4 linked regions of the Diceros bicornis minor genome follow. The protein of the gene in region 4 purifies or fractionates together with the protein of the main gene of each other region. This does not show direct contact. Links are inferred from orthologs where the notes say so. Each region holds a gene or a part of one and is shown on either strand. Other genes may lie near its edges.

Evidence for each region.
Region 1: the proteins of KDM5A (region 4) and RB1 purify together in Homo sapiens (affinity purification with western blotting; 4 studies listed by BioGRID and IntAct, with this or other methods). This does not show direct contact. The link is inferred for Diceros bicornis minor from reciprocal best matches to the Homo sapiens genes KDM5A and RB1.
Region 2: the proteins of KDM5A (region 4) and MORF4L1 purify together in Homo sapiens (affinity purification with mass spectrometry; 5 studies listed by BioGRID and IntAct, counting the BioPlex papers as one, with this or other methods). This does not show direct contact. The link is inferred for Diceros bicornis minor from reciprocal best matches to the Homo sapiens genes KDM5A and MORF4L1.
Region 3: the proteins of KDM5A (region 4) and ZMYND8 purify together in Homo sapiens (affinity purification with mass spectrometry; 3 studies listed by BioGRID and IntAct, with this or other methods). This does not show direct contact. The link is inferred for Diceros bicornis minor from reciprocal best matches to the Homo sapiens genes KDM5A and ZMYND8.

What each region holds. Positions count from the first base shown.
Region 1 is NC_080748.1:28,794,688-28,801,807, forward strand, and holds the start of RB1 (retinoblastoma-associated protein), read right to left. Parts: upstream 3,021-7,120; 5' UTR 2,786-3,020; coding exon 2,652-2,785; intron 1-2,651. UniProt on the Homo sapiens protein: Tumor suppressor that is a key regulator of the G1/S transition of the cell cycle. The hypophosphorylated form binds transcription regulators of the E2F family, preventing transcription of E2F-responsive genes.
Region 2 is NC_080744.1:71,150,281-71,157,972, forward strand, and holds the start of MORF4L1 (mortality factor 4-like protein 1), read left to right. Parts: upstream 1-4,688; 5' UTR 4,689-4,745; coding exon 4,746-4,785; intron 4,786-7,692. UniProt on the Homo sapiens protein: Component of the NuA4 histone acetyltransferase (HAT) complex which is involved in transcriptional activation of select genes principally by acetylation of nucleosomal histones H4 and H2A.
Region 3 is NC_080758.1:14,223,271-14,230,628, reverse strand, and holds the start of ZMYND8 (MYND-type zinc finger-containing chromatin reader ZMYND8), read right to left. Parts: upstream 3,009-7,358; 5' UTR 2,970-3,008; coding exon 2,926-2,969; intron 1-2,925. UniProt on the Homo sapiens protein: Chromatin reader that recognizes dual histone modifications such as histone H3.1 dimethylated at 'Lys-36' and histone H4 acetylated at 'Lys-16' (H3.1K36me2-H4K16ac) and histone H3 methylated at 'Lys-4' and histone H4 acetylated at 'Lys-14' (H3K4me1-H3K14ac).
Region 4 is NC_080756.1:59,031,376-59,038,794, forward strand, and holds the start of KDM5A (lysine-specific demethylase 5A), read right to left. Parts: upstream 3,018-7,419; 5' UTR 2,773-3,017; coding exon 2,608-2,772; intron 172-2,607; coding exon 94-171; intron 1-93. UniProt on the Homo sapiens protein: Histone demethylase that specifically demethylates 'Lys-4' of histone H3, thereby playing a central role in histone code. Does not demethylate histone H3 'Lys-9', H3 'Lys-27', H3 'Lys-36', H3 'Lys-79' or H4 'Lys-20'.

The sequences.
Region 1 (7,120 bases), on a different chromosome or scaffold from region 4:
CTTTTTCATAGTCTTTCCAAAATAAGGATACCACAGAGTGAAAGATGTTTGCTGGTCTGGTGAATCACATATACTTCAGAGCAGCAAAACAGCTTGGCAAAGGAAATAAGTACAGTAGCTAAAGCTGTTTGGGAAAATTGGGACAATAATAACAGCAAAAATAGGAGAGCCCATACATAATATTACAGAATCAATTCAGTATCAGTGACTTTGCTAAAATGCAGTCTACACTTATCAATGTTTCATATAAACTCTCTACCTACTAGCACTTCTCACATGATGATCAACTTGACATAAATTATTGCTACACTTATTTCAGCCTTTTCTCCTCGATCTTCCTTAACTAAGATAGGCAATTAATAAATACTTGTAGGCTAATTCCTTTTCATTCATTTAATACCTAGTTGACTTCTAAGAATAATCATAATAAGAGAAAAAGCTAATAATTTTTGAGTACTTACTATGACCCCGTTACCAAGCACCTTAGAAGCATGGTTTCACTGAACCTTCACATCAGTCCTACTAGGTAAGTACTCTTATTAACCTGTTTTATAGATAAGTACCAAATCATAGAAGTTTAAGCACTCACCTGAGGTCATGGCTAGTAGGTGGAAAACCTTGATATAAACCCAACAGTCTAACTCCATAATCCACGCCCTTGACAACTATTCCAGACTGCCAACTCTCCCTCAAAATATAATTAACTTTTGATTATCTCAACAATGAAGGTGGGGTGCTGTTTCTAGTGATGGTTTCCCTTCCAACTACATCACTTAGGCCAGAGATAATGCAACAGAAGTACGATCTCAACTCTCAAGGTAGAAATGAACTGTTACTGGAAGTGCAGTTAAATTGGGCCCTGAATCCATCCCTAATCTCAGTTTCAGATTACCAGACCAGGGTTCTACCCTTGTTAAGTAGTTAATCTACAGAGTTCGATTGCCCATGCTAATGAAACCTTTTGTGGGTCTGGATAATCAACAGCAGACTGTATCTTGTATGGATTTAACTTACAGGAGAATTTTTGACAGTTCCATCATTTAAAGGCATACAAAATAATATGTTGGGAAAAAATAAAAGAAACAAAGTTCTTCTAGTCCCAGATCTCGGCCAGAACTTCAAGAACTTCTAGTTACCCTACAATAATGGAGAATGTTTCCAAAGCTATGTGGATAACATGGAATTCTTTAAAGTAGACATTAGTGCTCTTTCCAAAGGGAAACTTGCAAGTATTGGATACATCAGTTTAATGAGAAACTAAAGTAATGTCTTCTCCCAGAACATCCTCAGACTTTTTTTTTTACTAGTGAGCATGATTTTTAATTGACCAGTAAGACAGTTCATTTAAATATATGAATTTTTAATAGCCTTTCACAGGCCAATTCCAAAAGCCCATTCCAACCTTTTACAATTCCCCTGACCTCTGTTAGTGTCTGGGGAGTTGAAAGAAATAGGACTTGGTGATGGACTAGAAGGGAGGAGGGAGTGGTGAGGGACAGAAAGGAGGCTCATTCCCTGCAATGGACGCGTAGTCTCAAAGTAGGACCAGTGCTGACAACAATAATGACAATTACACTCTCTCAATCTTAGCTTCTTAACCATAAAGAATCACAATCAAGAAAAATAAGATGTTGCAATACAATAAATGGCTCCCTGTCATGTTCTACTGCATTATCACGGACTTGCTTAAATTTAGATTCCACTTAGGAAAAAAATAGTTCCATGTGAGCACACGAACACCACTAATTTTGTACCCAAACAAACGAACAAAAGAGGGGACACCAGGATCCTTGCTGGCTCAAAGCCTAAAGGCAAAATGGAAGAAATAATGAGACATGCTGCAGCAGATTAACATGCAAGAATTTTATATAACAGGGAAAAAAGAAAACGTTTAGAAACTTTTAAGCACTTACACTAACGTTTCAAAAAACTTTTGCCCATACACGAGCTCCTCTAAAGAATTATGTTCCACCAGGCACTATCGATGGCTCTGAAGCCCAAGGCCTCAAAGCACTGTTATAAGGAAATCCTACATAGCACCTCAGTCGAGTACCCTGGGGGCAAGTGACACCCAGCACCCTACACTTCACATCCCAAGGCGTCTCTGCAGCAGCGTCGCAGGCTTTCCTGGTTGGCCTCTCCCAGGACCGGGCTTCAGATGCAGTGCGCGCCCGGAGAAAAACACTTCCCACTGCCGCATCGCAGGAAACCAAAACAGAAAGTCCAACGACCACCGGCGAACTACAAATCTCGACCGGAGAAAAACTGTCCGCCAGACACCAGTTCGTTTTTGTTTTTCTCTTTGCGTTTGATGGGGCCTCGAAACTACCCGCCGCCTGCGAGCCTCCCGACTCGCTGAGGAAAGGCGGCACCTGTCACTTCGCTCAGAGACCCGAGCCCCACCCGCCCGACACCTGTCAAGCTGGAGCCGAGACCCCTCCCGGCTGCCCTCCCCTCGCTCCCGCACCCAGACGCCTGTCATCCTCCTCCAGGCGCTCCACAGCGGCGGGGGACAAGCGGGCACCCTCCTCCCGCCGGTACCCGGACCCGGAGAAGACGCGCCCCCGCCGAGACGCCGCGGCGCCCGCCTCGACGCACCCTCGGAGCGCCCATCTCGCGCGCCGGCGGCCGCCGCGGCGATGCTCGCTCACCTGGCCAGAGGCAGGTCCTCGGAGCCGCTGTCCTGCTCGGGGTCCTCCTCCGGGGGGGGCGGGGGCGGCGGCGGCGCCGGGGGTTCGGCGGCGGCCGCGGCGGCGGCTGCTCTCCGGGGGGTTTTGGGCGGCATGACGCCCTGCCCGGGCAGGAGCCGGCGAGCGGTGGAGGTGGGCCCGGGAGGGAGGCCGCGCGCACGTCGGGCACGCCCCGTCCTCTCCGACTCCCGTTACAAAAATTTGAACGTCCCCTGAGAAAAACCGGACGAGCCCTCCCCCGCCCGGCAACCGAGCGCCGCGTCCAACCGCGGGAAAACGTCACTTCCGCCCGCGGCGTCACGTCCGCGAGGCTCCCGGGCCCGCCGGCGTCGGGAGGGAACCGGGGCGCCGGGCGGTGCGCGGGGCGGGGGTGCGGGTTCGGGAGGGCTGGGCGCAGAGCCCCGGCCTGGGCCGAGCCGCCTTCCTCGAGGCCGCCGCCGCCGCCTGAACCTGTCTCTACCCGAAAGTCTCCCTTCCGGGCCTGGGTGCCGGTCACGGAGCGTTACACAGTCTGGTGGGTGAGCCTGGCCCCCTCTGTTTGTGGGTTGAGCAGCGGCTCCCGCTCAGGCCCTGCCGGGAATATCAGGCGGCTACACCCTCGGCGGGCACGCCCCTCTCCCCCGTGGGCGGCGCCCGCCCTCCCCACCACACTCTCCCGCCCAATCCGTTAAGCAGTCGGCCAAAACAAAAACAAACATTTGTGGAACGCGTAAAAGGAGCTGAACTTTGCCAATCACTAGGAGCTACAAAGTGTAGGACAATTACTGACCTTTTAGAGATCACTAGTTAGGGAAGGGAGGAGTAGGGGCTGTGGGTAAAGAACAGATTATAGTGTGATAAATATTTTAACAGTGATGCAAAAACAGGAGGCACCGTCGAATTGTCTGAGACCTCAAAAGAGCAGCGACAGTTGAATGGAAGTTTGCCTGGCAGACTTAACATTTCAGGAGGGCTTACTATGTACCAGGGATTGTGCTGGCTGTTTTACATGATTATCTCCCTTAATCCCAGCAACAACCCTTTAAAATGAGTAGTAGTAGTATTCCACTTTCCAGATGGGGAAACAGGCTCAGAGGAGGTAATTAATTTGCCCAATATTACAGAGCTGATGGGTGGCAGAGGATTTGAACCGAGGTTCTTATCCATTACACTATGTCGTTAAAGAAAACACCATACAATTGATTATCATTCTCTATGTATACCATGACATATAGCAGGATGTAAAAAGGGTTAGCAGTCGTTGGCCTACTCCACAGCTAGTGCTGCCTAACTTCAGAAACCCTCTTTTGAGGGCCAGAAGTTTGTCAGAAGGTAGGGTCCATGCCCAGCCCCAGCTAGAGAGAGCAAATACCATCCAAGTTCCTATTCGCTTTGCCTGGGATTAGTGTAGGCAGGAGCTCAGGATGCAATTTTGGTCTTTGCAAGATCAAAAATAGTCTGCTGAAGGCCTGCTAAAATGAGATACGAGGATGACACAGTTTTTCTACCACTTAGCTATTATCATGAGGATGTGACGCTTGCAATTGCCGCAGCCATTGTGACTTAAGGCAAGCTGACCTGAAGATAAGGCAGAAATGCTAAAGATGGTACAGTAGGAATATCAAAAAATTCTGGGTCCTCGATAACATAACTGAACCTCTAACTTCACCAACCCTAGAGCTGACCTCAGCTGAGCAAGTTTTCAGTTGTTTGCACTAGAAAGCATCACGACTGATAGTATTTCTCCTATGAGCCCTTTCAAGACTGAGACCAAATCTTAGGCATGGTTTTGGCCTTAGTAGCTAGCAAAGGGTTGGGCACACGGTAAATGCTTGTTCGCTAAAGGTGGGGAGGCCAGGAGAGTGGAGGACAGTTCTGAGAACCTAAGTAAACTCTCTTCATATGTAGATATGACCTGCTTTATTTAAACTCAGTTTATCAACATTTGGATTTACCACAATTAAGATAAATCGAAGACATTTCTCAATTTACAAAAGGATGTGTATCTTTACCAAGGATTAATTTAACTGTGTCCCCTGCTACATTTAAAATCCTTACAGGAGCAATAGAGTCAATCAAAATCCTTACATCCCCTCACAGCTTTCTGTTGTAATACCAAAGTATTAGAAATTCTGCAGATTCTTAATAGAAATTTCCCCTGATCCTCCCCCACCTCCATAGTAGATTTAAGAAGATGGCTGTGAGACCAAAAAAGAAAAATCTTTCTTAGATTTTCTATCTGGAGATAGAACTCTCTTCAGCTTGAGTCTCCTTCAGTGATATCAAAATTTTTTTTTGAGTCTCCCCTAGCCTAAAAAGTCTTGTTTTGCACTCCTAAACTACCACACAGTTTCCATTTCTTTACCATCTAGCTTCTTGAAAGGGTAGCCCTATTTGTTCCATCTACTTCCTCAAACCCTCAGCCTACTAATGCCTGGCTCTCTTCTACTACTACCACAAACACTCCACTGAAATCACTCTTTCAAAGGTCACCAATGTCCTAATTGTCAGTTCAGTAGCTTCTTTTTGGTCCTCAATCTACTTGACCTTTCTTGCAGTTAACACAGTTAATAACCCCTTCCTCTTTCTTAAAACTGCCCTAGTCTTCCACAAATCTATGGTCTTGTTTTCCTCCTCCCTTCTGTTACTTCATAAACTCCTCCACTAGTTCTTCTTCTTCTCCCAGTCTCTTCAATGCAGGTTCCCTAGGACAGCACTACTCAAGATGTGGTCCTTGGACCAGTACCAGCCTCCAAACTGCTTGTGTGTAGTCCATGAGGAGATAACTATAGAAATTAAAAGTGCTTAGCAGCATTTATAGCAATTTGACATTTCATCAATATCCAAGCACATGATTATAGGACACCTCTCATTAACAAAATATAGAACAGTTCAAGTGTTCTCCAACTTGTGTGGTGAGTTGCAGGTGGCATGGCTGTGTCTTTGTCATGTGCAGTAGGACCACATTATAAGGAGTGAAATTCTAAGGTTAGTTTGTCAACTGTAACCCAAAAGTGAATAAAAATCTGAAAATGTAAATATTTATTTACTTTTATAACTTGCTATTTTTACAGTCATTTTAATTTTTAATCAAGCCTGTTTTTTGGAATTTGTAGCTAAATTAGGGAAGAAAAATTTGTCATTTGTTCTTAACCTTAAATTATAGATGGCAAAACAAACCTCACTGTCCTGTTTTGTCAAGAAAAGACACGTCAGCAGTGTGTTAGTAATAATAAAGTAGTAAACAAATCATCAGAGAAGTGATTCCAAAGAATTCAAGATCTAAGAGTTTGTACTGATTTTACTCGAGTATAATCCCCCATCTACTGAGTTCATAGCCATAACTCACAGTGAAGTGCTAAAACCAGGTACTGACTAATGAAGCAATAAAGCCATCAAACTTCAGTGGCATTTACATATAAAACATAAACTAATTATGAATTTGATAAAACATTTTGAATTGAAAATAAACTCCACACATAGGGAATTCATGGATCCAGAATCCATATCTTTGAAAGATAATTTAAATGTAACTCTAACTTTATAGGACTAATTTTTGGAACTGGCTACTGATGAAGAATTGAAGATGAATTTTGAAAATAAAACATCTCTTGCTTCATTTTGGGTAGAATTTAAAAATGAATATCCTGAGCTTGTTGAAATTGCTTTAAAATCTCTTCTTCCATCCCCTTACACATACCTTTGGAGACTGATTTCTCGATATGAATGTTATTAAAATAAAACATAGAAACAGTTTGGATATACATTATATCCTGCTAGTGACATTGTCACCAATCCAACCTAGATTAGATAATTTAACAAGAACCACACTCATTTGTCAATGTTAAAAACTTTAAATAATGAAAAACTTAAAATATTAAATATTGTTTATTATAGCATTTAATATAGGAAATTGCTACTTCACTACCAACTTTTTATTTAGTTGTTATGACTGTGGAATGACAAAAAATTAGGGGTGTATTAGCAATTTTCTATTAATCACCTACATGTACACTTTCAGTGAACGAAGTGTAGTTTTTGTAGTTTTTTTCTTTTATCCTATTTTTTTTAATTCTAATTTTTTGAAATGTAATTTTATGACTATTTAAAATACTAAAAAATGTGAGCTTGTATTTTGCGTCCCTTTGCTTTCATTTTCCTAGTAATTTTTAAAATGTTATTTTCAAAATATTTTCAAACATATCAATTCATGAAATATTGGAAATTAAAAAGAAAAGAAAGTTCCTTCACAGATAGTGTGAGATAGCACTGGCCTAGAAGATCTTCACCTCTCCTCTCTTCTTGCTCTTTTTCATTCCCATGAGTTAAATCTCCTCCCATATGTGTGTGTTCTTAGATTCTTTCAGGTTTCAAGAAATAAAGAGTTGCTCAGTTTACCTGAATTATTCAGAAGTAATGATTAGTTTAGAGGGAAAAAAGTGAAGAGCATG
Region 2 (7,692 bases), on a different chromosome or scaffold from region 4:
CAAGCCAAGAAATGCTCAAGATTGCCAGCTAACAACCAGAAGCTAGGAGAGAGGCATGGAACAGATTATCCCTCACAGCCCTCAGAAGGAACTGACCCTGCCAACCACTTGATCTTGGACTTTTAGCCCCCAGAACTATGAGACAATAAATTTGTTGTTTAAGCCGCCCAGTTTGTGGTACTTTATTATGGTAACCCCAGGAAACTAATAAAATCAGGAAGTGATTTTGATTTTAAATTTATTTTTTTATACCTTATATTAAGTAATTATCATCTTCATTTCATTTCAAAAGCCTTAGGAAAAGCAATGGCTTGTTTCAATGTAGACCTCAGTTCAGCTCAAGTGAGGAAGTTAGGATCACAGCTCCTTCAGAAGTAACATTTAAAAATGAGCTTGATCTCAAAGGATATTTTGTTCTTATTGTTGGCTGATAATTTATTATGTTGACTAATGATTTATTACTATTTGTACTAAAAGAATATATTCAAAGATATACCAAATCAAACACATTTTATTCTCCCATAGAACTCATATTTGAAAACTTTACATTCAATTATTCTATAAATGAATTTAAGAAAGTGTGTTAATTCTCTGTGATCCAGTTTCTTCAACAAGTAAATGTCAAGAAAAAGAAAGAGACAAACAGAGTCAACTCAATTAAATGAAATGCAATGAAATGTGTGGACTGTGTTTGGATCCTGATTTCAACCAAGCAATCATAAAAAAACATGTATGAGACAATCGGGGGAATCTGAACACTGACTGGATACTTGAAGATATTAAGGGATTATTATTTTTTTTTATGTAATAATGGTACTGTGTTAAAAAGGGCCTTTATCTTTTAGGGATGCCTACTCACTTGTTTATGAATGAAATAGATATGATATCTGGGATTTGTGTGTAGGTATTTGGGTGGATGGAGGAATAGGTGGGTATAAATGAAACAAGATTAGCCACATGTTAATACCTACAGAAGTTGAATGATGGATACACCATGGTTCATTGTACTATCCCCTCTGCTTTGGTATGTGTTTTTAAATTAAAAAACTATTTCATTATGCAAAACCAAAAGTGTCCAAGGAAACAAGTAACCTCTTTGTCCAGTGATCAAATTTAGCATCACTAATGAGACAACCAGACATCACGTGCCTCCTGATGTGATGCAATGAGAAGTGCATAGCATCAGCTATAACATATTGTTAAAAACACTCAGATCTAATCAAGTCTTGAGACCTAACTTTAAGTTTGTAGAAAATACAGAGAAAAGAGAAACGAGTTAAGTGACACCATGAATAAACAATCAGATAAATCCAGAATGTCAGACATTCAAAAAGCCTCAGTTTCTTCAAAAGCAAATGTCATGAACAAATACTAATACCACTAATAATAAGGTGTATATGTGTGGGTGGACTGTTTTTGTGCCAAGGGCTCCGCTCCCACCCCCATGGCAGTCTGGTGAAGCCAATGAACACTTTTTTCAGAATGTTTTTAAGTGTACAAAATAAAAAACATAGGATTATAAAAGAAAACAATTATATTGAAATACAGCTATCAAAACATCTTAAAATATGATATGGTAATGTACATGCTTCATTTTTAATGCATTAAATAACAAGATCTAACAGCAGGTCTAATAAGTACAATAATTTCAAAGGAATGATGAATGTAAATATCTCTGAGATATATGTAGGAACTGTAATGTGATATGAAAACATCTGATTTTTATTGTGACAAAGCCACGTGTGCTGCTGATACTATTGTAGTTTGGTACCTTCATTTATAACAAAAGGAAATGCTAAATTTCACAAGTTCGGTGAAAATCAAGATGTAAGTTTTTCCCATCCAAGTTCACGGACCCTTTGAATTGTATCCATGGACTCCTACTTTAAGAATTTCTGGTCTAGAACGTTAAAAAGATGAGCTCTAACAACCAAATGCAATACATTGTCATTTAATGGATCCTGTTTTGAAAAAACAAGCAACAAGCATACAAATATAAAAATATTTTAGGAACAAGTGTGGAAATGTGGAGTAGAAATCGTATAATTTTAGGGAATTATTGTTAATCGTGTTGGGTGTGACAACAGTATTGTGGTACGTAGGAGAATGCCTTTCTATTTTGGAAGTACATACTGAAGAAATCAGACATGATAGGTGCTGATACAAGGCAAATACGGGAAAATACAATTGTTGAAATGAGATGATATATAATGTATTCTTTCTACGTTTCTGTATGTTTGAAATTTTCATAATAAAATATAAAATAAAGTGACTTTTGAGATATTTTTATTAAGGCATAATGTGGATAAGATAAAGTGCATTACTCGTAAGTGTACAGCTTCATGAATTTTACATAGGTAAACACCTTTGTAACCACACCAGATCAAGATATAGAACATTTCCAGCTCCCTGAAGTTCCCTAAGTGCCCGTGTCCAAGTCAGTGCCCCCTTCCACTCCAGTTAATCATGCTCCTGATTTCTAACACCATCGATAAAGTATATTTCTTTGCTGTCTGGTTTCCTTTGTACAACATGTGTTATATTAACACAAAATTTTAGAGACTGGTATTACTTTGTTAGGCAAGGATGTCGCAAAACAGGCCTTCTCCTAAATTGCTGGTTGAAATGTAAATTGATGAAGCCTTTCATAAGACAGTTTAAAATGCCCACATCCTTTGATTCAGTGATTCTACATCTAGGCTCTTAAAAAAAATAAAAGCAGTGTGCACAAAGATTTAGGTTTGAAAGACGTAGGTTTCTAACAGTGGAAAATTGAAAGCAACCTAAATGTCCAGCAACAGAACCAAGGTTAGATAAATTATGGTCTATTTATACTATGGTATGTCATGACCAATTAAAAATGTGAGATGGACACATGTAATTGGAGTGATCTCTAAGTCATATCGTTAAGTTAAAAAAGAAGAAGACACAGAACAATACGTACAGTCTATTTACGGTAAAAGAAAAAACAATAGGGAGTACAGAAAAATGTCCATGCCAACTGATGGGGAAGTAAATGAGGGAAAATAAAAGGATTCTTGAAGTTTTGCCCTGTATTTTATACTTGTGAATTGTTGCATCATGAACAACCCAAATATTCAAGTATCACTTGTATAGTTAAAACAAAGGCAAAAAATTAAGTTTAATATAAATAAAGAACATAATGAGGCTGCTAGGATAAAGAACTCTGCAAGGATCCTCCAACAACTGTAACAGTAGTACCTTTGTTGCGGGAATGGGCAGATGAGGGACCGAGGTGCGAAAGGAACTTTTCACTATCTTCATTTTTATATTTTTAAAATTTTGAATTATTGAATTATTTTAAAGTATTTTTATTCAAAAAGTTTAAAAAAGAAGTGTGCCGGACAGTTTGGTTGGGGTCACAAAGAGGCCCTTGCCCCTTTCTTTGATACTTGAAGGAGTAGTACCAGCAAGGTGGTGTATAGACAACTGGAATGGCGGTTCTTTGTGGATTTCTGTGGCCCAAGAAGCCATTGTGTTGGAAGGAAGATGGAAAAAGAAACCGGAGTCAGATAAATGGAGAGGAGTCTAGAATTGGTGGGATGCATAGCACGCTCAGGGGCGGGTTTAGAACAGCCGTGGAGACAAGTGTAAGGCCTGAGGGATGGTTGAGCACTGCTTGTGGACGCACTTGAATGCCAGGCTAAGGACTTTGGGATTCCTCCTCCTCAACGTTTGTTGAGCACTGATTCACTGTTAAGCACCGCAGAAGCCTTTCCATGCAACTATCACAGTAAACCGATGGAAAAGTGCTATTATTCTCCCCATTTTGCAGCTGAGCAAACTAAGGACTTTTTGAACATGGGAACGACATGAGGAAATTCGTTTAAGTTGTGTGTATATTTAATAATAGCCCAAAGAAATTAGGTGACAAAAGATTGCACAAATAGGGCAAGTGCAGAACTCCCGCTTAGATATTATACGGCATTTTTCGCGTTAGCCTCTTTCGGTGGCGCGCAGAACTCCATTATCTCGAAAAGCCAAAGCTCGATCCCCAGCCTGCCTAGTGTCTCCCATTCTTCCTCATTTCCTGGAAAAGGGTATGAGCAGGCGCCGACAAACGGCCATTAGTGCCACCAAATAAACTGGCAGTGAGCTTGCTAACCAACGAAACTTCTAGACGCCGACTCCATTTTCTGGCCAGACTGCTGGCCCTAAAGCTGTCCTATGCAGAAACTACTCGAGATGCTTTTGCAGGTAGGCTTCAGAGGCAGCCTTTTCTCTCAGGCCACTTCAAAGCCCACATCATTGTGGCCCTATATTGCCCATGGGACTCCACAACTGGGCTTTTCCCATTCTTTTATCGCCGGTGATGCACACCGCCACACTTCCCCTCGCACCAACAACGCACAAAATCAAATCCAGGCTTGAACAACCCCTGGCGGTCCGGGAGCAGGTAAATGGGGAATGGGGGGGGGGGGGGGCCAGGGGCACCGCCCTTCCCCCACCCCGCGGCGCCTCAGCCGCCTTGGAACTACCAATCCCGGCGTGCCCCGGGGCGGCGCGGGCGCAGGGGCGCGTGCGCGGCGGGCAGCCGTTGGCTGGAGCGGCGGCTGCGCGGGTCGCGGTGCTGTGAGGTCTGCGGGCGCTGGCAAATCGGGCCCAGGATGTAGAGCTGGCGGTGCCTGACGGCGCGTCTGACGCGGAGTTGGGTGGGGTAGAGAGTAGGGGGCGGTAGTCGGGGGTGGTGGGAGAAGGAGGAGGCGGCGGCGAATCACTTATAAATGGCGCCGAAGCAGGACCCGAAGCCTAAATTCCAGGAGGGTGAGTCTCGGCCTTTTGGGAAAGGGCACCTAACGGCGCAGGAGAGGGAGGCGGGCTTGATGTGGTCGAATTTGGGGGCCCGGGGGCGGCCTGGGCTGCGCCCCGAGACGGCGGCGGGCAGGGCTTTGTGCAGAAAGCGCATTGCGGCGGGTAGTTTCGGTGCGTCATTGGGAGAAGACGCCGTGTGAAGCGAAAGCGTCCCGCGGGCGTGCGAGTGGGAGAGCGCGCCTGGCGCGTGGCAGAGCCGTAGTCAAGTGTTTGTTATTGTTCTGAGGAAGAGGGCGCGGAGAAAGTAGCCTATTGTCGGGCGGCGACGGGTGCGCCATGGCGGCGCTGAGGGGAAGTGATGTGGCGGAGGGGAGGGGAGGGAGCGGCGGCCGGTTCGGGCGCTCGCACGGGGTCTCCGGCCGCGGGGGCGGCCAGCGGCGGGCGCTCCGGAGCCGCCTCGAGCCCCAAGGTGGTGGCGTTCGGTGGAGCCTCGGGGCTGCGGCCGGGGGGTGGGCTTCGCGCCCCGCGGCGGGAGAACTGCGTTGTAAAATGGCCGCTGCGAGATGGCTGGCGCATCATGGCCGCCGGCGCCGGCCGCGGCCGCAGCTCGAGGGCAGATGCAGCGCCCCCTTCCCCCGCGAGCGCGCGGAAGCCGGTTCCCCCGCGCCGACCTCGGGGAGAGGGGTAGGGGCCGGAGAAAGGAGCAGGGGCGTCTTTGTCTGCTTTGTGTCGCCCGAAGGCATCGTTTTGCTCTCCGAAAAGCCCGGTGCCAAGATCCGAAGGGAGAGTGCGCGCGCTCATGCTGTGCGATTGCTTGTATAAAAACAAATAAAAGCTCCTTTAATGCAGTATTGTGATGTTTCCATTTATAAGTCCTATTGCCTTGATGTCATCTTTTAAATACAGCAACTGTTTGATTAATTGCAATAACGTTTAATAGTAACTTGAAAGTTGAGATTTTTATTAATTGGGTTTTGATCGACAGGTCTTGGCTGACGGTGGAACCTGACTTCCAATGGAAGACAGCTCTTTAATTTTCACAATTAACACATGTATTAATGTATATTAAAGTGGAGGCTTTATAGTAAACTAAAGTGGAAATAAAACGCAGCAGGAACGCTTTAAAATTACCTTTTCATTGTTATGAATATATGTGCTAGTTACCATAGATGTCCAGATGTCTGCAAAAAAATTTTCTTGTAAGGATTTTCAAACGTTAATGTGCGTTAGGATTACCGTTAGAGTCATATACTCAAACCCCAAGTATATTGTAACCTTATGGAATATTTAAGAGTTTTTCAAGGGTATTTTTGATAATGACAGACTCTTAATACCTGCCTTCTCCCGTTTTGAGAAGCTGTGACTACCTCCTATGGATTCTTTTTTTTAAATCGCGTGTTTTAGAGCAGAGATTTTAAATCTAGAGTTAGTGGATTTAATTCAGAAGATCCGTGAACTTGGACGGGAAAAGTTTTTCTTTTTTTATTATCTAACTGAAATTTAGTATTTTAATTATGAATGTGGGCGCCCCCACCCCCGCCAAAAGAAAAACCTAGCAGTAGTAGTGGCAGTGTGTTTTCATATCCCAGGGTTTACAGTTGTGGGAGATATAGTCGGATGTCACTTATGCTCCTCATTACTTCAGAATTATGATAGTTACTGGATCTGCAGCTAAATGTTTACTACATCAATTAAAGAGCTCATGTAATATAGAAAATGATATTTAAAGTGTTTGGTAACTATTCCAATACAGTAGATTTCCTTTGTAGTACTGTGTTTTGTGTGTTCATAAAAACATTTTAGGAAAAGTCCTGTAGCCTTCACTAAACTGTCGGGTCCATGGCACAAAAAGTTAATCCCTACTGTAGGATATCAAAGGAAAATCTCTGAGGCTTGGAACAGTCAAGGATGGCTTTCTGGAGGAAGTGCTTTAGTTCTAAACTTAAAGAGATGGTCGAGTGAGGGGGGATAACGGCGTAGGGAACTCCATGTGCTGCTATTGTGGTGAAATAGAGAAGAATAGGAACCAAGGTACCCTTATTAAGTAAGGTTTTGAAAGCTACCTAAGAGAGTCTCTGCCCTTAACCATCACTTTCCAGATGTGTTTTCTACTCTTGTGTCAAAGCTGAGTTGTATAACCATCTTTAAGAAATTATAGTTAGTTATTTTTAAGACATACTTAGAGAATATATTGTAGGAAAAAGTAGAAATACTCAGTGCCAAGTATATCAAAATGTAGAAAAATCAATGTAGTGGAAAAATGAGTTATCAGAAGTAGTATTGTTTTCCTGATTCCTTTAAACGCCCAAGTTTTTCTCATCTAATAATGGTACAGCATATGCTGTCAGCAATTTTTAAGCACAGTGACTGTTTTGCACTGCACTTGAAATTCTGTTAAAGCATAGGGTAAAGAAAACTGTTGGGCGTCTAGCCCATTGTCAGAGGGAAGGCCCTTTTGCCTTGTCAGGAATTGAGAGACTGATGCGGGCTTTTGAGTGATGTTCCTAGTAAGCACAAACCAATGGGAAGATGGGGAATTGGAATCTCATCAACCTTGAATTTGGGAGCATTGGGCAGAATTACCTTTGTAGTTTGCTGGAAAGGATTAAGAGTGGAGAAGGATCTAAAAAAATGTATCTATTACAGTGGTTTGCTCTTTCCCCAATTGCCAGTCTTTCTCTCCACTTCCATAATAGGCATTTGTTATTCTGTGGTGCACTCCCTAGCTAGCTGTATATTTTTTCAACAGTATTAGGGCCAGGTTGCTAGAATGGAGGTCAAAATTGCACTTAGCATCAGTGCAGTTTTCTTTGACAGCAGCAGCCAGAGGGGGGTGTAGGGCCATTTTCAGGGTGCCTTTAAAGTGTACCTGGAAAGTGAAATTAGGAGACAGAGATCTGATCTTTGGTGCTGCTGTTT
Region 3 (7,358 bases), on a different chromosome or scaffold from region 4:
AATTGTCCATCAACAGATGAATGGATAAACAAAATGTGGTATATGCACACAATGGAATATTACTCAGCCATAAAAAGGAACGAAGTACTGATGCATACTACAACATAGATGAACCTTGAAAACGTTATGCTAAGTAAAAGAAGCCAGACACAAAAAGCCACATGTTGTACAATTCCATTTATATGAAATATCCAGAATAGGCAAATCCATAGAGACAGAGAGTGGATTTATGGTTGCCAGGGACTGGGGAGAGGGGAAATGAGGAGTGACTGCTTAATGGGTACAGGGTTTTTCCTTTTGGGGTGATGAAAAAGTTCTGGAACTAGATAGTAGCAGTTGCACAACATTGTGAATGTACGTAATGCCACTGGATTGTACACTTTAAAATGGGTAAAATGGTAAATTTTACATTATGTGTATTTTATCACAATTAAAAAAGCCTTCCACAGCCTGCTCATCTCACGTGGGATAAAATCCCAATTCCTCTGCATGCCCTCCCCTCAACTCCTACCAGCTCCCCCAGCTCACTCCACTCCAGCCACCTCTGTCCTCCACCTTGCTATTTTTCAATGCAACTTTTGCTTTTTTTGTGTCTCTCTTTTGACCTTAAAGTTGTAAGTATTTGTATCTCGCTCTCGAACTCCCCTGCTATGTTATAAACTCTGTGAGTGTAGAACTGTGTTTTACAGATCCTGGGTCCCCTCCAGCAGCATCATGACTATCTATTACAGGAACTCGGTGTTTGTTGAATGACTAAATGATTGCTCGTTTCTACAGAGTTACATCCACTTTCTGGCACTGAGCCATGTCTTCATACCTTCCCACCATAAATCACAACCTTTCATTCCCCTGCTCAGAACCCTCCAATGGTTTCCCATGACTTCAGAACAGTAGTCTGCAAACTACAGCCCCGGGGCCAAATCCAGCCCACACCTGTTTTTGTCTGGCCCTCTAGCTAAAAATGGCTTTTTACACTTTAAAATGGTTGAAGAAAATCAAAAATAAAAATTTGTGGCCTGCATGAATTATATGAAATTCAAATTTCAGCGTCCACAAGTCAAGTTTTAATGCAACACGGCCATGGACATTCATTAGTTTATAGTCCACGCTGCTTTTGTGCCACAATGGCAAGGCTGAATAGTTGCAACAGAGACCATATGTGGCCCTCAAAGCCTAAAATATTTACTCTCTGGTCTTTACAGAAAACCTTTGCAACTCTCTCTTTCGGAAGAAAATCCTGTTGCTCTGAGCATGGCCTGCAGAGCCCCCTCCGGGCTACTTTAAGATGACTCCCCCTCCCTCCCTCTGCGCTGGGAGCACTGGCCTCCGTCCTCAGCTCCTCCTCAGCCTCTCCAGGCTCGCTCCACCTCGAGTCTCATGCGCCCAGTCTCTCCCCCGGAACACCTTCCTTCACATGTGGCTCCTTCTCGACTCAGGTCCCACCTCTTGCCAGAGCCCTCTCCTGACCAGCCATCTGACGCAGACTCCCTTACGTTTTCTGGGACGTCGCCATGTTATTTTCTTCCTAGGACTTAGCACAACATCTAAGCACCGTATTTCTTTGTTTACTTACTTTTTGCCTCTGTACTAAGGCAGGGACTTGTATATCTGTTCACCAGTGTTCCCGGGGCCAGCATAGGCCTGGGGCGTAATAGTTTCTCGATAAATATTTGTCTAATGAGTGGCCTTTTCTTCTTACCTGAAGTATCTATACAAGATCTCCAGTGCATCAACCATGGCCCCAATTTGGACTTTGTAACTTCTTGCACAATCTATTAGGTTGAACTGCATGCAGTTAAAATTTGCATATGAATCTAAAAAGTCGAATACCAGTAATTTCATCGATGGCGGTATGTAGAAATATAAATCAACTAATTCTCCCGTTCAGCTATTTACTGCCCTCCAGCCACCTTGACCTACTTTGGGGTCCTCGAAATGTGCCAGTTGTCTCCTGCCAAACTAGATCCCACCCCTTATGGAGCTTTGCACTTATTCCTTCTGCTTCAGATCCAGGACCAAATGTCACCTCCTCCAGGAGGCCCCCTGGGATCACATCATGTCACAACAGCAGTTTTATTTTCTCCCCAGCACTTAACACATTCTAAAATTAAGTGTTGTTATATTTGCTTTTCCAGGCAGGAAACGTGTCGTTTTCATATATACTGTTGTCACCCAGGGTCTAGAGCAGGTCTGGCACTCAAGAGTGTCTCAAAGCTTATTTGAGTGTAATGTAAATTCCTTGAGCTTTTAACTTCTTAAATAGTTTGGTTGTTACCGGGTACAAAAAACGCTGAACATATACTTGCTAAGTAACTGGAGTGACTTCTCTGGGCTTTAGCCTCCTTCCACAGCCACCCCTGCCTCCATCGCCCTCCTCGTTGTCATGACAACAGCAGCAGCATCCATATTATCATCTTCACCTTGGAAGAGCGCCTTGCACTTATCGAGGTTCACCACGTGCCAGGCACTGTTCTAAGCACATTTTAGGTATTAATTAATTTAATCCTCCCAATAACTCTGGGAACCAGGTACCATTATTACCCTCATTTTACAGATGAGAAAACTGAGGCGCAGAGAGATTAAGTAATTTACCCGTCTGAAAAAGGAAGACATTCAGAACAAAAATGAAGTCTAAGCCCTCTTGGTCTCTAAAATACCGAGAAACAAATACTATGGAGAAAGGGAAACAAAACAGACAGGAAACACTCAAAGGCGATAGGAACCAATTTAGCAACAACAACAAAAAACACACCAAAGGCAGAAAGAAATCCCAGACATAGAGCAATTTGGTCAAAACTCAACTCTCAGGTGTTCTCAGGCCACCAAGCTCCCGGATTTCCCATCCAGTTCTGCAAGCCCCAGACCTGGATGTCACCCTTGACCTCTCCTCTCCCCGCTCCCACCCCAGAGCCCCGTGGGATTTACCTCCTGAGCGTCTTCCACGGTCGATTCCGGCCGCGTAGCTCCATTCTGCAGAGCTGGTGGCTGGCTCTGGAGCCACCATTATCTGTTATCTGGGCAGGAAGGGAACAGCCTCCCACCAGCCCCCAGGCCCCAGGCAGCTCCCATCCCCCACCCTCAGCAGCCAGAGGGATCTTTTGAAATTTCAATTTGGACCAGGACACACCCCCATCTCCCACCCCCCACCTCTAAGACCCTTCAAAGGTTTCCCATTGTTCTCTGGCCAAAGTCTCAAATTCTTAAGTGAGCCTTCGCGGGCCTGCAGGATTCCCTTCTCCAACTTCAGCTCCATTCTCTGAGCTCCAGCCAGACCCCAGCCAGCCTGGAAGGTTCAAATCCTAACGCTGCCATTCACTCACTGTGTGACCTTGTGCGAGTAACTTAACCTCTCTGGGCCTGTGAAATGTGGATAATAACACCTCCCAGAGCGTCATCAGGATTAAATCAGTTCCAGTAGTAAAAGTCATTATTTAGCGCTGTGTCTGGCACCACTTAGTTATCACTGTTGTTATCAGGTATCTCCTACACATCCTTCAAAACCCAACACAGGGGCCGGCCCTGTGGCTTAGTGGTTAAGTGCGGGCGCTCCGCTGCTGGCGCTGCTGGCGGCCAGGGTTCAAATCCTCGGTGCGCACCGAGGCACCGCTTCTCCGGCCATGCTGAGGCCGCGTCCCACATACAGCAACTGGAAGGATGTGCAGCTATGACATACAACTATCTACTGGGGCTTTGGGGGGAAAAATAAAAAAATAAATAAAATTATTTAAAAAAAAAAACACAAAATTCATTTCTTCAAGGTAGCCTTCCTGGACCCACTTTTCAATAAAATGGATCCCCCTGCTATAAGGTGCTTATGGCAATCATAATTTAATATGTAATACATGTTTAGTAACTGAGTATAAATTCCTATTATTGATTTCTTATTTAGTGCCTCTTGTTCAATTCTCTATCTCCCTGGCACATAGTAGGTGCTCAAAAATAATTTGGTGAATGTTAAACAGGGAATGGCTGAATGAATCAAATGCGAGGATCCCCGAATCCCCAATTTTCAAGTCCAAGAATTAGGAGAGTTGAGTTTTAATGAGGATGCAGGAAAACTGAAGCTGGCTGGGAGTAACCAGGTTACAAAAGGAAGCTACAGGGATTTGTGTGTAAATGGAAGTGGGAGTGGCCCAGAGGAGCCGCCGAGCAGGGCGGGTCAGCACAAAGCTCGCTGCTTGGAATTCCCGAGGAGCAGCTCAAACAAAGGAGCAGCTGAGGAGCTGAGGCTGAAGTCCCCGGGGCAGGACTGGTGGATCACCCTGGGGCAGGAGGCTGCAGACATCGCAGGGATTCTGGGCCTTCCCGTCTTTGCCCCTTCTCGTGGCTCCTACCCACCCCCTGGCTCACCAGCCCCAGGGCTGGTGGCTCATTCCAAGGCCTCCTGTCTCAGCCACACCCCGGGCCTCCACCAGCCTGACGTCAGAATCTCTGTGGGGTGGTAGGTTTAACAAATAAAAATATGGGATGCCCAGCTAAATGTGAATTTCAGATAAACAACCAAGAATCTTTTAGTCTAAGTACTTGCGGTATTTAACGTGGCACTCCAAACTCTCAGGTCGCATCAAACTCTCCCCAGCGGTGTCCTCTCTCAGTTACCTTTCCGTTTTGGAGTCCTGAGCCTCTTTGGAAGAGTGACTCAACCGCTCTGACCCGTTTCTGCCTCTGGATAAGCAAGACGGCACCAGCCACTTCAGGTGGAGTTAGGATTCAAAGAAAATGACCCACACAGTTCTTAGCACCCAATACAGACGCCATAAGGAGCAACCACTACAGCCATCCTTCTACTCCGTTTTCCTGGATGCCATTTCCTGGGGCCCTCCCACAAGCCCTTCTGAACTACGCAGCATGGATGGCTGAACCCGTTTTACAGAGGAGGAAAACTGAGGACCGCTGTTCAGTGGGAGGACCAAGAGGCAACGTGTCCAGTCTTTGGGACTCTCATGCCAAAGCTCTTCTTGAACCTGTATCAGATGTGAATGTGCAACACACTGTGAGGTACAGGAGGGCAGGGACATGACGTTGGTTTCGATGCTGGACTCTTGGAGCCCAGCAAAGTGCCTGGCTCCATAAATATTTGTGGAATGAGTGAATACTGTGAAAGGTGACATGAGTGGAGCCATATTAAAACAGAGCCGGAGCAGCCATTTCAGAGGAACTGCCTTGCACAACTTGTTGTCTTTATATTTCAAACTAGACCAAACCACAACATTCCAAGAAGTTGGTAAAGACAAGAATAGCCTGTTTGTAAGGATCCATGAAAGTGGACTTTGCCGATGACGAATCACTAACCAGTCGATGAAGGACAAGTCCAGCCTTTGGCCTGATGACCGTATCTCAAGCCAATCTATGAGTACAGACTTGTGTACAATCCATGAAGTACTTAGCTCAGCCAGCACCAGTGAACTCAGTACAACTCACCTCATCCTCCCTTTTTCCCATCAACACCCTGAGCCCCTCTCCTGTAACTGGGACACTATATGGGTTTCTACCTGTGTCTGTGCTCCCCAAATTGCAATTTTTTGATCCCAAATAAACTCTTTGCCTCTTAAACTGGTTTCTGTTTTTGTGGGTTGACAATACAAATCCACCAGGGTCTCCATGACATTATAAGAGAGTGCTCGCTCTCCCTCTCCCTCTCTTCTCTCTCTCTCTCACCCGTGTTCCAGATCTTGAATCCAGGCGTGTCTTCCTGTGCTTTCTCCATAGCCCTAACTACGTGGGGGGAAATTAAGTTTAAGTCATATTTCTGGCTTTTCTCCTGAAATGAAGCAAAATGACAAAATGTTGCTTCAAATGGGAAGAAACCTGACCGTGGGAATGTCAGAAAGGCAGCCCTGGGTGTTTTCTAGATGAGAAGGGACTTCAGAGGACTCGACTCAACAGGGTTGCATTCAGCATTCACTAAACCCCTACCATCCCCTCCTGACTGCCCAGAAACATTAGGAGATAAATGAATTCCCAAGAGAAAAGGATTTTCTAGGGTATTTGAGGAGATGTGTTGACTCCAACCCAGAGAACCCTCTGAGAACATGGAGCCATCTGATGGACGTTCTGATCAACTCTCCTCCAGAGTAAACGGGCATCCATGGTGCCTGTTCTTAATTGCTCCTACATGGTCTGGAAGCCAGACGTGAACACTGGGGTCTGACTTAGGGAACTATTTTCTATTTCTCACTTATGTTTTCTTTATTCAGTGTAGGGTTGGGATGGCTGTGGCGGGTGGTAAAGGAAGTTTGGAGTTTGACACCAATTTGATCAGGATCCATGCTCTTTATAATTCAGTGGAAGTGATTCACAGGCGTTTATCAGATTTATGTGTTCTCACCTTCAGGACATCTCCCAAAAGGCCACTGCCAGCCTGGCCACGGATCTCGACCTGACCAGCAGCCCTTTCTCCAGAGACTTCCCCTAACAACATGCTCATCTGGAAAGATCCTTCAGCTTGAAGGTCACTTCCTCAGAGATGCCCTCCTTGATTGCCTTATCTAGAGGAGAGGCCCCAGCCCCGCCCAGCAGTCACCCTCTATGACGTCACCCTTTTGTACTGAGCACATGGCTACCAGCAATCACACCACATGTGGTTCTCTGTTGACTTCTTGGTGTCTTAGCCTCCTCCAACTAGGCCATCAGTACCATGAGGACAGGACGCTGTCTGGCTAGATCATTCTAGCACCCCAAAACCAGAAGGCTGCCAGGCCCACAGCAGGCACCGAATCAGAGCCTGTTAAAAGGATCAATAATAACAATAATAATAATGATAATAATGACTCATTAACTGCCTGCTAACTATGTGCCAGGCAGGCAGGCCTCTCAGCATTTTTCATATATTAAGTCCTTGATTCTCCCCGCATTGTGAGGTAGGCCCCTTGATCATGCCACTTTGCACTTGCTGTTCCCTTTGCCTGGAATGTTCTTCCCCAGATAGCCACATGGCTCACCTCTCTCTTCATACTGGTCTCTGCTCAAATGTTATCAACTCAGAGGCCTTCCCTGACCCCCTCCCTGAAGCAGCACCCTTCAATCCCATACCCTGCTGTTAGGGGTTGAACTGTGATCCCCCCAAAAAGAGATGTCTGGCCCCCTAGTAGCTCAGAATGTGACCTTTTTGGAAATAGGATCTTCACAGAGGTAATCAAGTTCAAATGAGGTCGTGAGGGTGGGACCTAATCCAGTGTGACTGGTGTCCTTCTATAAAGGGGAAATCTGGACGCAGAGACAGATGCGCATAGAGGGAAGACGGCCGGGTGAAGACAGAGGATTGGAACAAGGCCTCTAGAAGCCACAGAACGCCAAAGACTGCCAGCAAACCATCAGCAGCCAGGACGAGCAAGGAAGGACCCTCCCCACAGGTTTCA
Region 4 (7,419 bases):
ATTAACTCTGAGTCCTGGTACATAAGCTTCTCAAAGTTCTCTATCTGGATCCCTGACGTAATGAATCAGGAAGCAGAAATGGTGAACACTCACCTCAAGCTCATTCAGGCGCTGGACTCTGGGAGTGAAACGAAAGCTTTTTACTTCACATGCAAATGGAGGTTGCCAATCCTAAACAGAAAGAATTTTTTTAAAAAACATATTGGTATAAGCAAGGGATGCATTCTTCATTCCTTTAATGTAAAATGTCAGTTGCCACAAATCATGATGACAACAGATCAGTTCATAAGTCTTCTTTGTTGTAGAGACAGAAAGACTAGTATTTTTTAGGTGAATAATTTTAATATTATTTATCTCTAATTACTTATCTCTAATATTCTAAGTAATACTAAAATTACCTTATCTGTAATCCTCAACTCTCACCAGTCCCTTTACTTACATCCCACAATTATGCTTTCCCCAATTATTCAAGTGGAATGTAATGAGCTCATGTATCTCAATACAGTGTCTAACAAACATCCAAGTTTACCAAATTAAAAAAACAGAATTTGACAGAAACAAAAAATGGTAAAATTAAAATAATTTTTAAAAAGTACTTATATAATGGAATAATATGTTTTCCATTTGTGTGTAATGTGACACAGCACTTTACAGTCTATGTTATATAAATGTTATATTCAAAGCCTAGCTTCTGGGTACCCAAATATTAAAAAAAGTAAGCAAACCCACAGAACAAGGACAATTTCCAGATTGGAGATGTGGTATAACTTAAACGAGACAGCACATTTCAAGTAGGGTTCAGAGAACATAGCTTGATTTGGCCTAAATAATAGTAAATCTATTTAAAAACATGAGAAGTAGGGAAAAAAAAAAACTTATCTTACCTTGGAAACTAAAGAAATCCACCAATATTGAAATTAAATTCTGCTTGTAAACAAGATTTATTTTCAAAAATAATATGACATACAAAGAGAAGGTACATTATTTCAACCTTTTGTTAAGTAATAAAAAAGTTATAATTTTTTACCAAAAGGAACCTTTGCTAGAATTTCTAATTCCTAAACACAATAGAGTAGATGAAAATATGGTTTAGGAAAAACTTCAGTGCTTAAGGTTTTGTCAATATTAGATAATTTTGATTAAAAAAGAGTTAAGTAAAGCTTCTGGAGGATGGCAACCCATGTATCATCATTCATCATAGCAATTATCTGTTAATCCTTTGCTTGCAATTGATAGTCTATAATCTTAAATTCATTAAGCATAATGGGAGCAGCATGTCTAGATTTTAGAATCAAGCAGATTGATCTAGGTTCAAAATCTACTTTGCCACTCGCCCAAGATCACACATTTGATAAGTTATTTAACTTATTCCAACTTGCCTTATCTGTAAAATGAGACCTTATTTACCTACTAGGGCTTAAAAGAATATTAAACGAAATAATCTGTAGGTGCTAAACTAGCTCCTCCTCCTCCCTCCCATCTAAGCTCTTTTTATTCACTGTGGTAAGAGCAGACGTTTTTTAAAATGCGACATGGGTAAAACAGCACTTAATGTTTTATTTTTGTTAACGGAAGACAAAACATAAAGCAAGAGGTCCCTTTACGAAGCCCTAGGGCAATGGTTCACAAACTTTAATGTGCGTTAGGAGCCATCTAAGAGTACTTGCTAGAAAAGTAGATTCTAGAACTTCCACATCCAGAAACTGATTCTAGTCTCGCAATGAGGCCTAGGAATCTGCATTTTAGCAAGCATAGGGCTAACTCTGGTGCAGGTGGACCAGGAACATCATCTGGAAAGCAATGGTCTAATGGGTCAAGAAAAAAATCTTCTGACCTTGAGCAAATCACCCAACCTCTTGGGACACTAATTTCCGCAAACAAGGGGTATCCTAACGATTGAGAACTATAACTAACCTATAGGCAAACCCAGTTATTTGCAATCACTGCGATTCGTAAATCTTTGATCCATGGTTCCTTACATCAAAAGATGCCAAAGTTTTCTTCCACTTTTGTGACAATTTTGTCCTAAACCTCTAAATTTTAAAAATAAATGCTGCTCCTTCTCTTCCCCCGGGAAGATCTTTCCACTGCAGCAGTAACCAGTGTGGGGTTCTTGTTTGGTGATATATCCTAGGGGACAACTGGGGCTCAGATTACCGTTTAAGAAACCTTAGCCCCAAGATGAGGCCTGCAAATATTTACTAAATTAAGCATCGATAAGACTTCGATAAAAAAATAGCCGACGGAAGGGCAGTTTTTCCTATCGCACCTTAATGGGGACTGTATCTGACTGTACGTCATGGCACAATACTTCAAACACCTTATCGGCCTAAAGCCTTCTGTTACCCTTGCCCACAACCCGAAGTATCTGTTCCCAAGTTCTAGGCGGAAAGGCCCCGGGGACTCCGCTCTCTCGCGCTCAGACGTGCCTACCTAAGACTGCAAGAGAAACCAAAGCAAAAATATCCAGAAACTTAGCTTCTACTTGTTAGAAATGAGGGAGAGTAAAGATGAAAGGACAGGAGGACCGGAAAAATAAAGCTAAACCTAGCATATCGACTTCCCCACGCTCTCTTCTCCCCCTCTCTCCTCAGACTCGTACGGTACCTTGGGCGGTCGGATTTTGCAGATGCCGGTCTTCTCCGCCAGAGGCCGGATGCGGCCGATGAAGCTGAGTGGGTCTGTGAACTCCTCCCAGCTGGGCTCAAAGACTGGGCACTCCGGAGGGGGCACGAACTCCGCCGCGTAGCCCCCTGGCCCCACGCCCGCCATGGCAACACCCAAGGGACCCCGTGCGGGGACAGATGGAGAAAGGCTGGCTGAAGCCCACCGACCCCTTTCACGTCCCCTGACAGGGGCCGAAGCTCATCTTCTCGAACAAGACCTGCTCAACACGGTAAGCCCAGAATCGCTTCCTCCTCTCGTTTGTTATTGTTTCCTTCGGGGCTTTTCCTCTCAGGGCCAGGACTTTTCCGGAAGTTAACGTACTGTCAAATCCCTCCGCACCCCAAAAAACAGAATCCCTCCGCAGCAACGCGACGCCTTGTTGTACGACCTTTCTTCTTCGTGCCTTTCCTGGCAACCCAGTGTCGTTCCTGGTCTCCTTGTCCGCGAAAGTTCCGAACGGTCGGACGACTTCAAGCGGCACACCCTAGAGGTCCCACGATCTCTCCTATAGAAGAGGTAGGGGTGGGGGAAGCGGGCGGCTATGAGGCAAGACGCACTCTTCCGGCGCGGAGGAATGTGTAATACACCAGAGGGCAGAGGTTCTGCTTCCGGCGAGGAGGGTCCAGTTCCCTTTTGTGTATAAAGGGACACGAAAGCAACGCGGCCCTAACCTCAGCCGTCCCATTTCGCTGTTGGGTGTATGGTTTGTTTTAACCTACCTATCTGTGTTTTTTCAAGTAACTAAGGTTTTCAGCATCTCTCTCTTTTTTCAGTACTTTGACTGTTAGTATCTCTTTTGAATAATCTCACTCGTCACTTTGTAGCCGTCCCATCTCCATGACAACAAGTTCTGGTCCGAACCCATCCCTCAAATCCTGCCGGAGACCTTAGCCACTGTCCAGAAATTGGTTTTCCTCCACATAGAAGCAACGGCTCTTGACCTTGCTTTTCCAACTATTGACAACACCCAAGTCTCTCAACAGGAGCGCCTTCCCTCTGGCACCACATGCTCCGTAAGCCTTTCTCAATTTGCTGTAAAATCTATGACAGCTGTTCTGACCCTGCTCATCAAAACGCTCTATGCCGGTGTCCAGCTCCACTTCCTCCAAATCAGGGAGAATAAGGTAGAAAGGACTAAAGAAGAAACCACGAAAGGATAGTTCTTAGTTTAAATATTTATTGGGGGGCCGGCCCTGTGGCCTAGCAGCTAAGTGCGCAGTCTCCGCTGCTGGGGGACTGGGTTTGGATCCTGGGCGTACACCGATGCACCGCTTGTCAGGCCATGCTGCTGTGGCGTCCCATATGAAGTGGAGGAAGATGGGCACAGATGTTAGCCCGGGGCCAGTCTTCCTCAGCAACAAGAGGAGGATTGGCATGGATGTTAGCTCAGGACTGATCTTCCTCACAAAAAAAATATATATATTTATTGGAAGGAAGACTTTCTTCCCAGGGCTTGTTCTCATACTCCCTGTGCAATCTCAGCTACCCCCAGGACCTAAATTGCCAGGTATGGCTGATGCCCCCCAAATCTATTTTCAGCCTAGATTTCTCTCCTAAGTTACAGCTGTAGTACATCAAGCTACCTACTGGACAACTCCACTTGGTAAACTCAAAGTACCTTGATTAATTAATTTAAAGTTAATTTTTCCAGGAAGATAATAGTTCTTCCACTAGTTCCTCACTGTTTTTTCAGTGTTTCCAGTTTCCATGAATGACTTCATCCATCTACTCAGTTGCCAGAGCCAGAAATCTAGAAATAATCCTTGACTCCTGCTCCCTTACTGCCCATGCACAATCGTGTGTCAAGTCTGGAAATTCTATCACCTAAACATCTTCAATCCACCCATGTCTCTCCATCCTCATTATGACTAGCCTAATTTCTCTCTCACCTGAGCTATGATAACAGCACAGTTCTTGCCCCCTGTCAAATCCCTCTCCACTCAGTTGTCAGATTGCTTGTCTAAAATCCAGAATTCATCTTGTCACTTTTCATCTCCAAACTCAATAACTCCAAACTCCTTCTTAATTATTTGCTGCCTCAATTATATTGATTCTTACTTTGAGATATATTATTGCTGTGAAGCCTGTGATTTCTCCTGCACAAGTAAGAGAAGCTAGAATTTACTTTTCAGTTATTTGAACTGAACTAATTAAACATTAATTTTTCCAGGAAGGTAATAGTTCTTTCACTAGAAAAAGAAAAACCGGTACGTGATGTTAAGAATGAATGGACAGGGGCTGGCACAGTGGCTTAGTGGTTAGGTTTGAGCACTCCACTTTTGCAGCCTGGGGTTCGCAGGTTCAGATCCCAGTTGCAGACCTACGCACCACTTATCAAGCCATGCTGTGGCAGGTGTCCCACATATAAAGTAGAGGAAGTTGGGCATGGATGTTAGCCCAGGGCCAATCTTCCTCACCAAAAAAAAAAAAAAATGAATGGAGAGAGAGATTTGAGTGTTTTCATAGTCAGTAAGTGAGTAAAACTTGGAGAAAAGGTGAAAATTGGCAAAAAGTACATTTTATACAAAAAGTATAAAATGCCAGAAAGAGATCATGTGAGAAAAGACAAGATAGGCACAATTTAATTTAGCAATTAGTAGGTCATAGAGCAATTTCAAATGAAGTTATGGAGTTGAAATCCAATTTCTAGTGAGTTGCAAAGTGAATGAAAGGTAAAGTAAAGGAACCAAGCATAGACTTAAGATTCTTGGTTGTGGAGGGAAAGATGGGGTACAGGAAGAATGGACTGTCACCTTAGAAAAAAGAGGCAACTGCAAAGCAAAGGAGATCACTTATTTGGAGTCTCAGAATTGCAATTCGGGGAACACAGGTACCCGCAGCAGCCAGAAAAGTGTCCCCCTGAGGAGTAAAAGTCAGATGTTTTTATTAGCAAAATGGAGAGCCCAGAACAATTACCTCAGTTGTTTGTTAAGATTTATGAATGGAGAGTGAATTAGCATTGGCTTACTCAAGGACATCTTGTTGTTACCAGAAAAAGTATATTTTTGCACAGTCCTTCAGAAAGTCCTTTCTCAGCAAATATCTCCTTTTGGCAAGTCAGCAAGGTCAGCACAGTTTCATATTTTTAAGAAGATGGAGTCCAGAGTACAAAATGGAGTCACTGCTGAGAACTTGTTTCACAGGAGTTTGTAAAGAAGAACCAAACAAACTTTTTACGAGCTAGGAGAGATGAGTACATCTAAGTGCTGAGAAGAAAAACTAATGGAGCACTGGAGATTGAAGATAGAAGAGAATAGTCAAAGTCCCTAAGAGATCGAAGAAACTAGAGCATGATGAGGGGGGGCCACCTCTTTCTCTGAAGCAGAGGAAGGAGGTAAGTACAAGTACAAAGATGATAAGTAAGTGGGTGAGAAGGCAAGAAGTTGAGGCAGTGGTGCCTAATAGCCTTTGAGAAATGAAGAGAAAGGTTCTAGGAGGGCTGCTTTAGGGGCTTGAAGCAAATGGTGAGTGTCCAAAATAGCTACTGTGGAAATTAGAAGGAGCTAATGTTTCCTGAGAAGTGTTCTTCACTTCTGAGGGCTTAATTAAGGTTGGAGACTGTACGTTTATGTTAATACCATTTCCCATAAATGTGAGACATTCTCCAGCAGCATACATAGAAGGCAGATGTAAAGTGTGGGGATTATCAACATAGTTACAACAGGAAGATAAGGAAAAAGAAGTGAGATTACTGGCAAGAACATTAATGTCATGCAGCACAAGACTAAGCTGATAGGAAAGAAAAGCTCTGGGGTGGGAGAATATATCATGTTAGTGTTCCCCAGGCTGCTTTTCTCACAGCCTCCAAACATGTTCTTCCCTTGTATTTCCCATTCTGATTAATGTCAGCTACTCCAGCTAGCTTCCTGTCCTGGAGCCAGTCAATTGGAACCTTTAAATATCTCCCATTTCCCCCTTCATAGTTCCATCGTTGCCACCCTTGTTTAGGCCTTTTCCTTCATATGAATTATCACTGTAGCCTCCCAGATCTTCAGGCATTGTTCTTAATTGATCCTCTGCCACCAGTGTGATTTTTTAAAAAAATTATCAGTCTGGGCTGGCCCAGTGGCATAGTGGTTAAGTTTGCACACTCCGCTTCGGTGGTCCAGGGCTCACAGGTTCAGATCCCAGGCACAGACCTACGTACCACTTCTCAAGCCATGCTGTGGCAGGTGTCCCACATATAAAGTAGAGGAAGATGGACAGGGATGTTAGCCCAGGGCCAGTCTTCCTCAGCAAATAGAGGAGGATTGGCAACAGATGTTAGCTCAAGGATAATCTTCCTCTCACACACAAAAAAATTATCAATCTGATGTTGGGTGATTTCAAGAGAGGGATGGGTTGAGAATAACCTTTTGACATTTGAGTGAATGATGATGCATTAATGTAGATGTAGAATGGAAGAAGAAGAGCAGTCTAACAGGAGAGGCAGTATACATGTAGGGAGGAATGTTAGACATACATTCATGTGTTCAACAACAGTTACTGAGCAGGTGCTATGTTCCAGGCACTCTTCTAGATGCTGGATATATAACAATGAACAATAAAAAGACAAAGTATCTCCCCTCACAGAGCTTACCTTCTAGTGGTGAGAGGAGGCAAAATAATAAGCACAAGCAAATAAATACATACTATTTTAGGTGGTGCTATGGTCTTTTAAAAAGTAGAGAAGGAGGGATTGGGTGGGTGGTAAGGGGGGATAGGGTAGTCAGAGAAGGGCTCAAGATGGATGACATTTGAATAGAAATTATG